Linked DNA regions of Caenorhabditis elegans. The protein of the gene in region 2 interacts with the protein of the main gene of each other region in a pairwise test. Each region holds a gene or a part of one and is shown on either strand. Other genes may lie near its edges. The genes, in order: mrg-1 and hcp-1.

Evidence for each region.
Region 1: the proteins of hcp-1 (region 2) and mrg-1 interact in a two-hybrid assay, tested with the Caenorhabditis elegans proteins (one study listed by BioGRID).

What each region holds. Positions count from the first base shown.
Region 1 is NC_003281.10:12,868,878-12,876,281, forward strand, and holds mrg-1 (Mortality factor related protein 1), read right to left. Parts: upstream 5,778-7,404; coding exon 5,283-5,777; intron 5,224-5,282; coding exon 5,075-5,223; intron 4,155-5,074; coding exon 3,935-4,154; intron 2,791-3,934; coding exon 2,641-2,790; 3' UTR 2,397-2,640; downstream 1-2,396. Other genes in the region: spcs-2 (Signal peptidase complex subunit 2), read left to right, coding at 6,154-6,234, 6,289-6,750; cec-7 (Chromo domain-containing protein), read right to left, coding at 6,990-7,295, 7,347-7,404. UniProt on the Caenorhabditis elegans protein: Protein involved in the remodeling of chromatin thereby regulating various processes including transcription, chromosome synapsis and genome integrity.
Region 2 is NC_003283.11:6,591,555-6,600,746, reverse strand, and holds hcp-1 (HoloCentric chromosome binding Protein), read right to left. Parts: upstream 6,554-9,192; 5' UTR 6,522-6,553; coding exon 6,471-6,521; intron 6,414-6,470; coding exon 5,812-6,413; intron 5,768-5,811; coding exon 5,266-5,767; intron 5,217-5,265; coding exon 4,914-5,216; intron 4,863-4,913; coding exon 2,949-4,862; intron 2,902-2,948; coding exon 2,638-2,901; intron 2,586-2,637; coding exon 2,023-2,585; intron 1,974-2,022; coding exon 1,745-1,973; 3' UTR 1,539-1,744; downstream 1-1,538. Other genes in the region: ZK1055.6 (Protein F37C4.5), read left to right, coding at 1-228, 1,040-1,492; ZK1055.2 (Nucleotide-diphospho-sugar transferase domain-containing protein), read right to left, coding at 7,113-7,326, 7,373-7,491, 7,539-7,706, 7,751-7,815, 7,864-8,086, 8,131-8,213, 8,493-8,625.

The DNA.
Region 1 (7,404 bases), on a different chromosome or scaffold from region 2:
CCCAGATCCGCAGTGCATAGCACTTGAAGAACGGATTGTCCTTTTAATCTTTCAAAAAGAATCGAAGGATCTCCCGTGTGGTTGTGGGGACAATGAGAGGGAGGCTTAGATCACCACCTAACCTGTGGTAGATCGCAGCCCTATCCACAAAGAAAATCTGTGGACGTCCTCAAAGAAGGCCGCCCGTGCCCTCGGACTGGCCAACAAACTTAAAGGGTGGAGAGGAACACTAATGACGAGCGACTGAAAATGGCGCTAGCGTCACGTTTTCGCACATTAACAACAAAGAAGCCCACGGCCCGAAAAAAGCCCAAGCAGCCCACGGCTTAAATTGCAGACCAATTACCATACTACGAGTGCTCCTTTTCGCTCCATGAGTCGTCGCCGCTGTCGTCCTTCCGTCCAACCTTCGTCCAACAGTCCCTCCGTCCATCCGTTCAATCAATTTTTGCTGGAGTATCTAACGCATCTGAAATTGAAAAATATTAATATTTGATTTCAAAAGCCCACGGCCCAAGAGAAGCCCGAGAAGCCCAAGAAGTCCACGGCTTAAATTGCAGACCAATTACCTTCCTATGAGTGCTCCTTTTTGCTCCATGTGTCATCGTCGATGCCACCCATCCGTCCCGTGCTGGAGGATCCAACGCGTCTGAAATTGAAAAATATTATTTATATTTTACTTTTTTAAAGCAAAAATGGAAGACGCATAGCAGAAAAAAATCAATCAATATTTTGAAAAACGGGGAAAAATGCCCAGAAAATTTTACAATTTCTCTAGCCAGAAAAAAATTGGAAATTGTTATTGTTTTAAACTACAGTAATCCTACAAAATTCCTACAGTACTATTACGGGAGCACTACAAAATTTTGAGAATGCGTATTGTGCAACATTTATGACGCGCAAAATATCTCGTAACGAAAACTACAGTAATTATTTAAATGACTACTGTAGCATTTGTGTCGATTCACGGGCTCAATTTTCGTAATGTTATAAACACGTGTGCGCCTTCAAATAAAAAACAACATTTTGTTGACGCGTTTTAAAACATCGAAAAAAATTGAAAGAAACAAAAGTTTGTAACTACAGTACTCCTTAAAGGCGCACACCTTTTCGCTTCTCAGAAAAACTTGCGTCGTTTCGAAACCCTATACTTTAATCTTAAAATCGATAAAAACGCGAAGTTTTGCGGTGAAACATTTGTCAACGTGCAACTCGAAAAGAAAAAATCACGAAAAATCAGAAAATCCATTCTGTGAGAAAAAAAAAACAGCCGTACTCCAAGCCACCCATTGGAAAAAATGACAAAAAATGCAAAACAATTCCTCACCTGAACAGAGAAAAAATGTCGCGTTGAATGAGAGAGTGGGACGAAAAAGGAGTAGATCAAAAAATAAATGTTTGTGGCAGGTCTGGAATCTTTCGAATACTCGTTTTAAAATCATTTTAAACACTTTTAAATCATTAAAATTAGATTTTAATTAATCAATTTATTAAAATATCAGTTGTGGTAAAATTTAACTGCGCCATCTGATAAACTGATTTAAGATTGTATTCGCTGCCGCTGAATTAAATGTTTTGCGCGTCAATTAAAATGCCTTGTACGCGAATGCGCGTCGCCTGCAAACACAAACAAAATGCTCCTAAAACTGGCTATTCTTGCCAAAATCTTCGACTGCGTTGAGATGATTTCGGCGTTTCTTTTTTTTGCGAAAATTCGGTCATGTAGAAAGTGTAGAAATACTTTGCTAAATATTTTTGATATTTTAGTCGAAAAATTGTATCAAAGAAAATGACCGAATTTTCCCAAAAAAAAGCGGCTGAGCGAGAGGAAACCCTTTTGGGATGTTTTTTTTTCTTTGAGACTCAAAAATTTCTTTTCAAAAAAAGACAACTTCTTGTAATTTTTGAGAATGCGTATTGAACAACATATCCGACGCGCAAAATATCTTGTAGCAAAAACTACAGTAATATGACTACTGTAGTGTCGATTTACGGACCCGGATTTTTGAATTGTTTGAATAGTGATAGAAGAAAATTAAATATCGCTGTCACTATTTAAAAATAAATTCAATTCGAAAATCGAGCCCGTAAATCGACAAGAATTTTCGCTACGAGATATTTTGCGGGTCAGTTATGTTGTTCAATAAGCATTCTCAATATTTAACCATCTTAATCATGAAACTTCAAAATCGGAAGAAAAAAGTATATTCTAATATTCAAAAAAATCTTCAGTCTTCCTCTTCTTTCCAGTCTGGCACGTGGAATGCGAGATGGAATAGTTTTGGGGGCACGCAGACATTATATCAAATCTCGATAGGCTAAAAATGGCGGGGAGTTGGAAGAGAAGAAGAATCTGGAAAAATATGAATGTGGGGGGCTATTGAAAAGAAAATGAGAATCATATTCATTAGAATAGTTGGGAAACAACTAAACGGAAAATTGAACGATAATGGAATGCGAAATGTGGAAGTCGTCAGAAAACGTGAGATTAACGTGAACAAAATATGGATCTCCACGATTTCACAAAAACATAATGGTGGGGCTAGCTTTGGAAAATAATGAACAATGTATAAAATTATTGAAGTTATATCGGTGTATTGAAGATCGTCTGGGATGGAACACATGATGAAGGAGATCAGTCTATTGATTCGCTCCAACTCCGTCGTCGGCGGCGAGAGATCGGCGATAGTAGTCGTTGGAGGCACCTTGATAATCAGACGATCCTCTGTAGTACTTCCCGTGATTCTTATTCAGGAACACAATCAAATCGTGAACTCCAATCATGATGCGCTGAAAATTGATTTATTTTATTTTTGGAGCATGGGACTACGCTCAGTGGGGAAATTGCTTTAAAACACGCCTATGGTACCACAATGACCGAATATCATGATTAAAAAAATTCAAAAAAAAATTTCTAGATTTTATATGATTTTTCGAAAATTGAAAAAATCTCAGTTTTCACCTAATTATTTTTGAATTACCGTCAATTGGATTTGTTCGATGGAGCGCGCTTGCATTATTTTCATTAATTAATTTTATTTTTTCTCGTTATTTGGCTGGTTTTCTTCATTTTCTATGCTTTTAAAAAGGACAAATGCGAAATGTTTGTTAAAAAGTAATTGAAAATGAGTAAAACTGTGAAATATACTAATCTCAGGCTTGTCGGAACTCAGAATATCACAGTTTTACGCATTTTCAATTACTTTTTAACAAACATTTCGCATTTGTCCTATTTATTTCTTTCATTTTCCGAGGAAAAAACATAGAAAATGAAGAAAACCAGTCAAATAACGAGAAAAAATAAAATTAATTAATGAAAATAATGCAAGCTCGCTCCATCGAACAAATCCAATTGACGGTAATTCAAAAATAATTAGGTGAAAACTGAGATTTTTCCAATTTTCAAAAAATCATATAAAATTTATAAAATTTTTTTGAATTTTTTATCATGATATTCTGTCATTGTGGTCCCATAGGCGTGTTTTAAAGCAATTTCGGGCTCCTGAATTCACGGAAAATCGTTTTTTTTTGCTATTTTTTATTTATATTAATGTTGAGAAAAATGATACGCATTGAAAAAATGTAAATTTTGGAAATTTGGCCTCAAACTGGATCGAAACCGTCAGTTTTTCGATTTCAGGATCGTAAAATATTCAATTTTGTGGAGAAAACGCAGATTCACAAAAAAAAATTGATTTTTAAAATTAAACAAGGCAATTTCCCCATTTTTCAATTTTAAAAATCAATGTTTTGTGAATCTGCTTATTCCCTACAAAATGGGATTTTTTATGATCCTGAAATCGAGAAAATTGACGGTTTCGATCCAATTTTCGGCCTAATTTTTCCAAATTTTACACCTTTTCGCCAAAAAAAAACAGATTCCGTGTGGAAACCAGATTCAGGAGACGCTCCAGGAGTTGAACTTCGAACATACGTTAATAACATGATCATTCCATTGAGTGAGCTTCAGGTAGTCCGGGAGCTTTGCGAGCATTCTCAAGAAATGCACAATTCCGTACTCTTGAGATGGACGGAATCCACTATCCTGCAGGGCGGTCGGGTTTGTGATGTCGATTCCCTTCTCCATAGCTCGCTTTTTGACAAGGTCATTGTACTGTGGCCGCTCGAACTTATAGAGCAGTTGGTAGCTGGAACTAAACAATTCATCCTTACATCGTAACTGTTTCAAGTGGGATTGGGGCGACTATTCTACGAAGCGGAGGGCATTATGTGTACTCACTGCTACTTTTATCGAACGAGGGACGAGGAAAAGCGGTTTCTAGGCCATGGCCGAGGGGCCGACAAGACTTAGCGGCAATTTATCTTGCTTTGTTTTCCGCGTGTTTTCTTTTGTTTTTCAAAAAAATTTTCCGTTTTTTCTTATTAAAACTAAATAAAAGATAAATAAATATTTTTGTAGATGCCAAAACAATTTCCAGGTGAAAAAATTGTGTATTCAGTCGGCAAGAAGCGGTGAAAGTGGTCAATGTTATATGATGGATTACGGTAATACTAAACCTAATCGTTTTTCTGAAACATGGCATTTATTCTGCTTAGAGACTGAAACTATTCGATTTTCATAACGAGACCGCTCAAAAAGTTCTGAGATTTTTGCACAAAAAGTTGAATTTTGAAAATCTCAAATCTTTTTCAGCGGTCTCGTTATGATGAAAATCGGGTAGTTTCAGTCTCTAAGCAGAATATATACCATGTTTCAGAAAAGGTTTAGATTTAGTATTCCCGTAATCCATCATATAACATTGAGCACTTTCACCGCTACTTGCCGACTGAATACATAATTTTTTCACTTGGAAATTGTTTTGGCATCTGCAAAAATATTTATTTATCTTTTATTTAGTTTTAATAAGAAAAAAACGGGAAAAGTCTATGAAAAATTAAAGAAAACACGCGGAAAACAAAGCAAGATAAATGGCCGCTGAAACTTGTCGGCCCCTCGGCCATGGGCTAGAAACCGCTTTTCCTCGTCCCTCGTTCGAAAAAAGTTGCAGTGGTACTAAACATTGGGCTACGTGCAATTTGCATGCATCTGTTTAACATATTCGAATTAACCAACCCCAAAGTGACATTAAAATAGTCGACGAGTCCACGCGCGGTGCAAATCAGAGCCAAATTCGTGATTTTTATATCAGCTTCCTCGTATTCGATGAGCAGATCATCGACCGTTCTCATTTGCTCATTACTGACCGGAATGGTTTTGATGTACTGAAAATGTTGGATTTGAAAATCGGAAAAAATGATATTTTAATTTTTTTTATGCTTACGTCCTCGATGATTTGATCAACTGAATACTCGTGTGGCACGATGTTTATGAAATAACGGCAGACAAGATCGTAGTCATCGATCAGGATCTTTCTCAGTGGCTTCGGAAGCTCGACCTTCATATCGTCGGCGGTCATAACCGGCGCAATTGTCACCGATTTCGCCTTTTTTCCCTTCGACGTCCCCGGAGTGTCATCACGATCGTCTCGTGGTGCTTCAGCCGCAAGACTTTTCTTCTTCGGCTTCAATGCAGTTGTTGGCAGCTCTGCGTTGTGTTTCTCTGCATACTCCGAGGCTGTTCCCTTGAAAATGCGGTCTTTCTCCTCGCCGACTGGGATTTTCTCATCGTATCGATTGTTCCAGCCCTTGAAGTGAACGCAGTAGAGTTCCTTGCCATCGCTGTTGGTTTTGATATCAGTAATTTTGGCATCGTATGGTTTGCCTTTGTAGATGCACGCGACGTTCTCGCCGACTTCGAAGTTCTTCTTTGAAGACATCTGAAGGAATTAAAGAAATTAATCGATTAATTGGTGTTTTAAGCGAGTTTTAGCAGCAATTCTAGCCAATGATGTATATTTGAACGATTTTTAATCAAAAAATAGATTAAAAATATCGAAAATTCGATAAATTTATCGATAAAAACAAAAAAAAAGCTTTTCTCAAAGCTCAACGGCATTTTCGCAATTCAAACCCCCCTGCGGCGCGGTTTTCTAAGCAAATGCAATAGCGCCGCGCACGAAAAAGTACGCAAACACCACGACGCAATAATGCAGACTTCCAATTTTGAGACGTCACCACTAGCTTTTTGCTCATTTCTTTTGGGTTTTTTTGGATTTCTATTCAATTTTTATTCTCAAATATATTAATTTTCAGATGACGGACGAGCCGGTGAAAGTTGTGAACAAATGGGACGGTCCAACAGTGAAGAATGCCCTTGATGAAGTCGTCAAAAAGGTTTGCTCTCCGAAACTCCAAAATTAAAATTAAAATTAAAATCTTTCGTTTCAGATTCTGAACGACAAAGTCGGATGGACGGAATCGCATAATCTAATGAATCTGCGTCTTCTCATCTCATTCATCGGCGTCGCGTTCTCCGCGTTCGCCTGCGGCTACGACTACTACGAGCCGTTCCCAAAGTCGAAAATCGTGCTCGCCGTGTGCTCGGTTTCCTACTTCATATGCATGGGAATTCTTCAAATGTATCAGTGGTACGTCGAGAAGGACTGCATCTACGAGGCCACCGAAGTCGACGGAAAACAATCGAGAAAATGGGCGTGGAGCTCGGAGATCAAGGCTCACGACGATAAGTACACGCTGTCGGCCGAGTTTAAGAAGGAAGGACGCTCTGGACAGGGAAAAATCACGAAATCTATCGGAGCTTATATCGATAACGATGGAGAGATCATCGTGCCACTTGTGAAGAAGGAGGTCGACGACTTGTACAACCGCTTGATTCGTAGCGAACAATAATTTATTTAATTTATCTGGTTTTCTTGGCCTAATTTATTTCCCCTTTTCTTCGCTTTTCATGGGTGCCCCTTTCTCTCTCCATCTATCCTGTTTCTTGTCTGTCAAAAGCTAATATTTCCAGCATTTTATACAATATGAACTTGTCAATTTCGGTAAGAATTCATTGTACAAATAGCTTGAAAAGAACAATTAACAAACACAAAATTTTAGCAATTTAACAATTTATTAGCAGATCCCATCTACTTCTTCATCTCGAGCATCTCTGCGTACTTCGCGGCCGAGCCCTTGAACAATCGACCCTGCTCCTCGCCGACTGGAATTTTCTCATCGTAACGGCTGTTCCATCCTTTGAAGTGAACGCAGTAAAAATCCTTCCCATCAGTGTCGGTTATGATGTCAACGATGTACGCGTCATATGGCTTTCCGTTCTGTGTGCACGTGACTTGCTCACCGATTATGAATTGTTCTCTACGTTTTCCGACTAGCCGCGGAGCGTTCTCTTTCGTCGCTTGAGGCTCTGTGGATTTTTCATGGTTTCTAGCGGACTGAAAATGCAAAATTTATTATTTAAAGCTTCAATATTCTCTGAGCAGTACCTTGCGCATTGTGACAACTGGAGCTCGGTAACCATCTGCTATCCCTTTAAAAATACGG
Region 2 (9,192 bases):
ACTTTGAGTACAGAGTTTAGAATCGCACGGAAAGCGACTATTTTAAACGGTGTAGACGATCATAAAGTGACTATCGGCACTATTGAACTGATACCATCACTTTTACATCAAAGTGTTCCATCCAAAAATGCATCAGCGTTGTTGACAGCTTCAGCAGTCAATACTTCTGTACTGCCACTTTTGAGTGGTGAAACTTCAATCTTTTTGAACAATGCTTTTGTTGCAAAGGTGAACGATTGTATCAAATTTTCATAGTTTTCTCTCAAAAATATAATAGTGTAGGATCCCGTTAAACAGATGCTTTCCAAAAGTGCTCATTTCAGGAGTGGGCGGCAATTGCCGTTCGGCAAATTAATTTGTCGACAAATTCGGCAAATCGGCCAATTGCCGATTTACTGATTTGCCGGAAATTTTCAATTCCGACAATTTGCCGGTTTGCAGATTTGCCGGAAATTTTCATTTCGGCAAATTGCCGATTTGCCGTTTGCCGGATTTCAGATTTGCCAGAAATGTTTAGAGGGATTTATTATAAGAAGGAAACACTTAAAACTGTGTCTTTTTGAATTTTTTTTCCGTTGTTTCTACATATCTTCCTAGAATTTGTTTACTTTTCAAAATAGATGTAGGAACATTCATAGTTTTTTCACACACATACATACATACACATACATATTCCGGCAATTTACTGATTTGCCGATTTGCCGGAAAAAATCGCTTGCATCTTTTCGCGAAATTCCGAGTGTTGCAAAAGCATATTTAAAATATAAAAATCGTGAAATTTTTTTTGACTAACTTCCAAATTAGGATAAGTGAAAACTGAGAGTTAATTTGAAAATATAAAAATCTCCACAAAATCGAAGATATTTGCACTCGAAATCTCGAAAAATGAGCACAAAAAAAAACCAAGAAAGGGGTACCATAAACTTCCTCGCGGCGAGACCCATCCAATTAAATCCGTGTGCCTTTAAGTTCGCGTTTCAGAAAATTTCAAACTTACAATACATACTTTTCGGAGAATTTATTGCAATTCATGTTTCAGAGTCACATGAAAGATGTGTCACCAGGTGAACGATTCACCTGTTCTCTAGGCGTGGACACGGCCATTCGTATCGAATATAAGCCAGCCAAAAAGTTCCATGAAGAAGGCGGTTACATCACAAAACATTCAACTCATGCCACCGAGCAGACGATTAGTGTAAAGAATACAAGAAGTGGACCGCCTGTACTGTTAACAATCAAGCATCATGTACCACGTAGCACAGATGAGAAGATACGTGTGAAACTGACATCTCCAGTTGGCATTACCTCTGATCAAACTGATCAAATTAATTCAGAAAACGCTGAACCAAATGTTGGAATTATTCTGAACAAAGATAACAACTTGGAGTGGACTATCAAATTAGACGCTATCAGTTCGAAGGATCTATTGATTAAATGGATTGTTGAACATGCGAAAGGAGAGAACATCGAACTTCGCGAAAATTTGCAATGATAATAATCCTGTGAAATTTCTGAGCTGTAATATATCACTTTTTCACTATAAATGACGTCACCTTTATTCAGGATCTTCTTTGATTGTATTTTAATGAGACTAAAAATCGTTGATAAATTTAAAAACCCGTTTATTCTGACCCTAAAAGCAAATAATATTTGACAAGTAAATATGGGTTCAGAACGGGTATTCATGGCACATATGTTAGTGGGGGACGGTGAGAGATCTAGTGGGGTGAGAGAATCTTATAGCCTATTGGTGTTGGCAGTTTGATCGATTCTTCTTCGATGGAGTTTCGCGAGCCGACTTCTCCAAAACGTGATCCTCCGGATGATGATTTGAAGCATCTATCTGCCGGGCAGTAGTATTCGACATGGTTTGAAGACGATCTTGGAAGGAGTTCTGCGCATCTTCGAAGGCATCCTCATGAGCAGAGTTTTGCGGTTCGACAAGTGAGCTTTCGCGGCTCAGTTGTTTCACACTGAAAATAAAACGCTCAACTTGTCAATTTTAATACATGTTCAACTCACCCAAGTCTTGCTTGCTCGATCAGTCCCATTACTCGTGGCGGCGTCTTTACACCCTTCAGCTGCTTGATCTCGGACTGAAGTGTCATGATCTTGTCCTTATACTCCCGCTCGTCATCATCAAATGCATCACAAACTTTCTCCAATCGCTGGATTTCGATTTCAGCCCTCACCAACTTTTCCTCAAGTTCCAGAATACGAGAATGTGCTTGTTCCAGTGCTTCCGACTGTTCTTTATTTTCAACTTGAATCAAAGTGATGTCGTGTTGAGCTTGTTCTTCGACTTCAATGACACGACGGTCAGATGCTTCCATCTTCTCATGCATTTCTCCAAGCTGTCGTTGCATTTGCGAAAGCGATTGAGTGAGAGTGCCGAGTTGCATTGCCTGCGACTTCCAGACATTTGCTTCTTCCAGGCGAGCCTCAAACTGCTGTGAGATTGTTTCGATCCGCGACTCCAGAGTAACAATCGTGTTCTCTTTCTGAGAGAGTGCTTCCTCTGCAGCCTCGAGTTTTTCGTTTGCATTGCTCAAAGACGAGTTCCACTCCAATCGGATCGATGCTTTCTGTAAAATTTATCAATAAATTTGGAATTAAAAAAATGTCCGTTAAACTAACCTCCACTTCGAAAGCTTGCACGAGGTTTAGCATCTGCTCCTGAACTTTTTCGAGTTCTTCGACTTTCTCCTGCTTTGCGTTTTCGGTGTCAGCTAGGGCCTTTTGTGCAAACTCAATTGATGCTTGAAGCTCTTTAATGCGTGAATTCAACTCCTCTGACTTGGCTTGAGATTCTTCGATTGTACTCTGTGATGTCCGAAGAGTATCAATTACGGATTGGAGGCGTTCTTGTTCTTCCTTGTGCTTTGCAGCTTGATCCGCGTTCTGAAAAAATACAATTTTATAAATATAAAAGAGAAATTTCGTCAAACCTCAACATCTCGGCTTTCAATCTTGGCCACTAGTTCCGCAAGATGTTCTTCTTGATCCATCATTGCCTTTGTAGACTTTTCTACTTCTCCACGAAGCTTATCAATAGTCTCAGCGGAAGTCCTCGTCAGTTCAATGAGCTCGGCGTTTGCAGATTCCAACTGAGAAGACATTTCGGATAACTGATCCATATTCAAGTTAGTATCAATTTCCATCTGCTCATTTTGACTTTTCAGCTCACAGATTTGCGATTCAAGTAGTGACACTTTGTCGGTGAAGTCTTGGATGGTTTTGCTTTTTTGAACGTTTTCAGCTGTACTACTCTCGATAGCAGTTTCTAACTCCTGAATTTTACCTTCCAACGAAGTTACGAGATCAGAAGATCTGCCTTTTTCTTGAACAGCAGCGTCAAGTTCAGCACGAAGAGCTTCATACGATTCACCTTGTTCTGATTTAAGAGCTTCCATAACGACTTGAACAGCATTGGTGTCCTGGCGAGCAGTTTCAAGCTCGCTTTGAAGATCAGAGACTTGCACGTTTAACTCTTGAACCCTGGCATCTGAAGTTCTCAAGTCTTCCTGAAGACGATCAGTGAGATCCGAAAACTGCTGAGCCAAGTCGAGTTGAGATTGAAGCTCCAAAACCTTACCGTTGGAATCCTTCAAATTGGCACGAAGATTGTTTAATTCCTCCAAAGGTTCCTTCAAATTCTCCAACAAAGATTCCAACTCTTTGACTTTATCTTCAGAAGCGACAGCATCAGCCCGAGTTGATTGCATTTCTTCTTGGAAGGCGGTCAATGAAGCTGTCATTTCAGAAATCTGTGCTTCAGACGAATCCAACTTCAACTGCATTTCCTTATTCGCTTCAGTGATGACAGAAAACTCCCGACTAGAAACTTCAATTTGCTGTTCGAGTTCAGACACTTGAATATTCAATTCTTGGACCCTGGCATCTGAAGTTCTCAAGTCCTCCTGAAGACGATCAGCGAGATCCGAAGATTGCTGAGCCAATTCGAGTTGAGATTGAAGATCCAAAATCTTATCGTTGGAATCCTTCAAATTGGCACGAAGATTGTTTAATTCCTCCAAAGGTTCCTTCAAATTCTCCAACAAAGATTCCACCTGTTTGACTTTATCTTCAGAAGCGACAGCATCAGCTTGAGTTGATTGCATTTCTTCTTGGAAGGCGGCCAAAGAAGCTATCATTTCAGACATCTGAGCTTCAGACGAATCCCATTTCAACTTCATTTCCTTACTTGCTTCAGTGATGACAGAAAACTCCCGACTAGAATCTTCAATTTGCTGTTCGAGTTCTTCATTCTTTGCTTTCGACATGGCAAGATCGGCTTGAAGTTCTTCAAAATTCCTCAGAGAAAGTTTCAACTCTTCGTTTTGCAAATTGGATGACTGAACCTCACGTTCAAGCTTTGAAAGCACCTCAATAGAAGACTGAAGTTCGTCAATCTTTACTCTTGACAGTTCAATATCCAATAAATACATTCGATGAGCCTCTTCCATCTTCAACTCCAGATTTTCCACCTTAGTGACGGCAACATCAGTTTCTTGTTGTGAAGATAAGAGTTGAGCAGCCACCATCTCCAATGAAGACGTTAGTTCCGCAATTTTTTCGTTTGAAGATGTCAGATGTACATTCAACGAATTGTTTTCATCAGACTGTCTCTTCACTTCTTCCAACTGCATCTTCATCTCAGAAGTCAATTCCTGGATTGTAGCTTGCGATGCCTCCAACTGTGCATTGGGCTCACTCGTGGATCCTGACTCAAGTTTTGCAGCTTCTAACTGGTTCTCCAAATCAGAAATCTCTTTAATCATGAGCGATCTGAACTCTTCGAGTTGTTGCTCGAGCTCCACAACACGAGAATTATTGGTGGCTTCAAATCGCAGCTTTTCGACCTGAAAAATAAAAATATATATATTGATTTGTGATTATTCAATTAAGCCAACCTCTGCTTCAAGGCCGTTCACTTTTTCCTCGGCATTCTTGATGTTTTCGGAAGCTTTTTCTTGTACCACCATTAACTCTGCTTGAAGTTTTTCTTTGTTCTCAGACGACAGTTGCACCTCCAATTCAAGTTGTTTGATCTTGTCGTGAAATTCTTGGATCTCCAAGTTTGCTTGTTGGGATTTGAGGGCGAGTACTTCTGCCTCCAGTTTCTCCATATCCTCAATCATCATCTTGCGAACAAGTTCGTGCTCATACTTCAGCGATTCACTTGTTGTTTGTGATTCGGTGCGAATCCTTTCCATCTTAAAAATAATTAATTAAATTTACTTCGGCAATAAATTCTATAAAAACCTCTTCACTGAATCTCGCTTCTTTCTCTACTAGATCGCGCTGAAGACTTTCGTTCATTTGTTTGGTATTCTCAAGCTGTTTGATTGCTTCTTGATGGCCTCCAATTAACTCCCGAATCCGATCTTCCGAAGCAGTCGCTCCTTGTTGCATCGAATCTACTTTCAAAGCCTTCTGGGTCAACTCCTCGATTTGAGCGTTCAGAGCAGCAAGATTGTGTACCAACTGATTCTTCTCTTCGTCAGGCTCTTCCAGCTTCAAGCGTAACTCCTGAACTTGTTTCTCGAGAACTTGTTCTCGTGCCTTAGCGGCTTCGCGGTCAGATTTTGCCTTTTTCATTGCAGAATCTACTTGCTGAGTCAGCATCTTTTCCTCAAAAATTCGAGCTTCTTGAATCTCACTGAGCTGTTGACTGTGACTTTGACGGAGAAGCTCGATCTGCGACTGAAGAAGTTTGATTGACTCCTCATGCTCGGAATTCTGCTCCAACATTTCAAACTCGTGTCTGAAATTATTTTGTTTTAAGCTATAAATACGACAATTTCTTACAGTGAGAAGTCAATGTGACCTTTGACAGGAAGCACTGGGGACTGGGGGACATCTCGGACTGGCTTTGTAGGCTGATCTACTCCTTTGGCGATTTCCGTGAGAAGCTGTGGATTAGATACTGTTGGAGTACATTCTCGGCTCAGAATCTGGCTCATTGGAGTACGAGAAGCAGTAGGCGTAGTCTCTCCGTCAAGTGCCAATTGATTATCGAAATCATTGGACAGTGTGGCATCGGCGTCCGTCTCGTCGCTTTCTTGAACCATGCTCAGGTTGCTCGTGCAATTTGAGGTGTCGTAGAGCTCAGATTGTTCTAAATTCACATCAACATTGCTGCCCGGAGTGATGGAAGCATCGTTGGTTCCCACGAAGGATGCATCATCAGTAGCCAAAGCTGTTACTGTAGACAAATCCAGTAGACTTGTGTTGTCGGCAGGGGTGATAGAAGAAGCAGAAGACGGGCGGGAATCATGCTCGAGGCAGGTCTCCTCCAGGTTGCTATCGGCCATATTGCCCGACGAAGTTCCAAAAATGCGTTTCGGTTCTCTTCCTAGTCGTGATTTAGGCGTAGCGGCGGAAAATGGCGACTCGGTTTGCTGGCGCTTCTGAAATAATTTATATTGTCATTGATTTAATTAAAATTTTGAGAAAATTCAACTTACATTTCCAGCTGAGCGCTTGTTCTCGTTGTCGAATATCGGCGATTCGTCCATTGTGAAAGAAACGTCGATTTATCTATAAATTAGCAATAATGATTATGGAAATTACACAAGGGATATTAAAAATCAAAAAGGGCGCGTGATTTGAAAAAAGGAGGAAAAAAGTACTAAACAGGAAATTAAGGGGAAAATAAGTTTTTAGAAATATATCTATTAAATACTGCGTGTGAAACTTTTTGACGTTATGTGGCAACAAATAAAGTAACAAAACAGTATTTTCCAAATGTCAGATAACTGAAAATGAACGTTCATGAATAATGAATGAATGAACGAAATGAAAAGTGCCGGATTCCCGCGCGTGGTGATTCAAAATTGAAACCTTCCCGCCATGTGCGGTGGAGCACGGTTGCTCTTACCGACCATAAGGTCAAAATATAATAGGTCTACAAGTGAAAATCGGTATATTTTATTTATTTTGCAGTTTGTGGCCTTGTAAAAATGGGGTTGATTGGAACAAAAAAATTAAAAACCATCGTTTGCGTTTTATGTAGTTTTCACAAATTTTTATTCCAAAAATATATCTTGTCTTACAATTCAAGTAAATATACATACACAAAATCTGAATTTAAAGTTTAAAATTGCTGGTTACTGAAACAATAAACCCATCATCCGGATATAAGACAAAACTTGCTGAAATGCAACATTTTCTTCGAACATTCTCAGGCTTTTCAGAATTTCGTTTTTATCTCCACGAAGTCGTGAATCGTATGACCATGTCGAATTTTGAGGACTACATTTTTGAAGATCTATAGGCCCACTCAAAGGATTATACCAAAAATCTCGTCCCATTTGGCTAGGCCTGTAATACTTGAATAATTTTTAAAAAATTCAGGTAATTTGCCAACTCAAGCTTCACATTCGGCGTTTCTCTCAATTGATTCGTTTTCCAACCATGGAACATGAAATCTAACTCTGGATGCCACATCATTGATGTCAGCCAGCCGTCTTTAGCCCATCCTGTTCCCTGTACAGTTAATATTGTAGATGTTGTGGTATTAATTTTAAACCTACTTTTTTCATAATTCTAACTTTTCCAAAATCAGTGGATACGCCAAATATTGCTCGGATACATGACTCGTAGGTGAAGAGATCATCAAAATTTTTAGAATTGTTATAAGCTTTTTTGCATACTTTCGTATTTGCAGAAGCCTGTGGGAACAACTTTTCGGCAAGGAAAATCTAAACAATAAAATAAAAATTGAAATAGGAAGTTACCAAGTTACATGAAGTGCTCCATTATCCGTTCCATGAAAACTATTTGGTAACTTGTACTCATAATCAGCAAACTCTGCAATTTTATTAAATTCATCACAAAAATTTCGAATAAAAAACTAACCGTTTAATAAATCAATAGCATATTGAGTATTTCTTGCAATATAAGATCCAGCCATGATCTCCCAATTATAGAATCTATCATAGAATGTAACATCAATTCCATCATCCAAAAACTCTTCAATTTTTCGCTTTGGATTCACAACACCAATATCAGCGTCTAAGAATAGGATCGCATCAAATAATGGGAGAATCTTTGCGGAAACACAGTGGCGGCGGAAAAATTTCTGAAATGTTAGCTTTTTTTAAATTAAAAAAAATTAGAACTTACATCTTTATGAGCACATTTGAAATCAGTATCAACTGCGAGAACAAATTCATAATTATGGATTTTGCAGTAGCAACGAACCGTTTCTGAAAAATAACAATAGAACGTCATAATAAAACATTCCAAAATGTTTTTTAAAGTTTTTAAAATTTCCAGTCAAAGTTTTGGAAAATTGGCAAATTTTCGAAAAATATGGGCTTTAAAGAAATCCAGGGCAATGTGGCATGTTCCAAGAATGTTTTAACATAAATAATTAAAAAAAAATTAAAATATTAAAAATCCTTTTAAAAAAACCAGTTTTTTTACTTTTTTTAAATATTTGTTTTTTTAAAATCTGTTTGTATAACACTATTAAAAAAACATGCGAATAGCAATATCATAATTCTCCGGTTTTGTGTCATTCGTAACAACCATCACAATGGCTACTCGATTAACAGGATGAACCTCTCCCATGCTTTCATCTGCTCCAAATAACTTGAATTTGATTAGGTCATTGAGCTGAAATTTTCAATACGATTAACCGTAAATATTTGCATGTAATAGTTCCCCATTGTTGTCGATTCTGCCCCTTACGGAGCTATCCCGACAACCTTACAGTACTATAATATTGGTTTCCCATTGAATAGCCCACTATTCTTAACCAATATCCGTACTGTTAGGTCATCCAATTATTATCTCTTTATTACATTTTATTTCGTTCAAATCTATCCATTATTCGCCGAGATATAAACTTATCTACAAATATTCACATTCAAATCTCGCGCCACTATCTAATAGTAGCGCGATCGCGGCGAGACCCACGCGTCTCTAACTTCTTGGCATCGTGCCAAGTGCAACGACCACCCGCGATGACGTCGAATATGTTTGTCAGTTGCGAAGCAATTCCGGTGAAATCCACACGTTTTCATTTTCCCAACGTGTTGATATTTATTAAGTTCGTTAGATATAATTCCTAAATAACCGTTTTGTACTATCCTTAGTCTAAATGACTCATAATACCATCATATTCGTCTGCAGAGGGTTTAACACCATCTATTAAGAACTTTTAACACCATCCTTTATTGT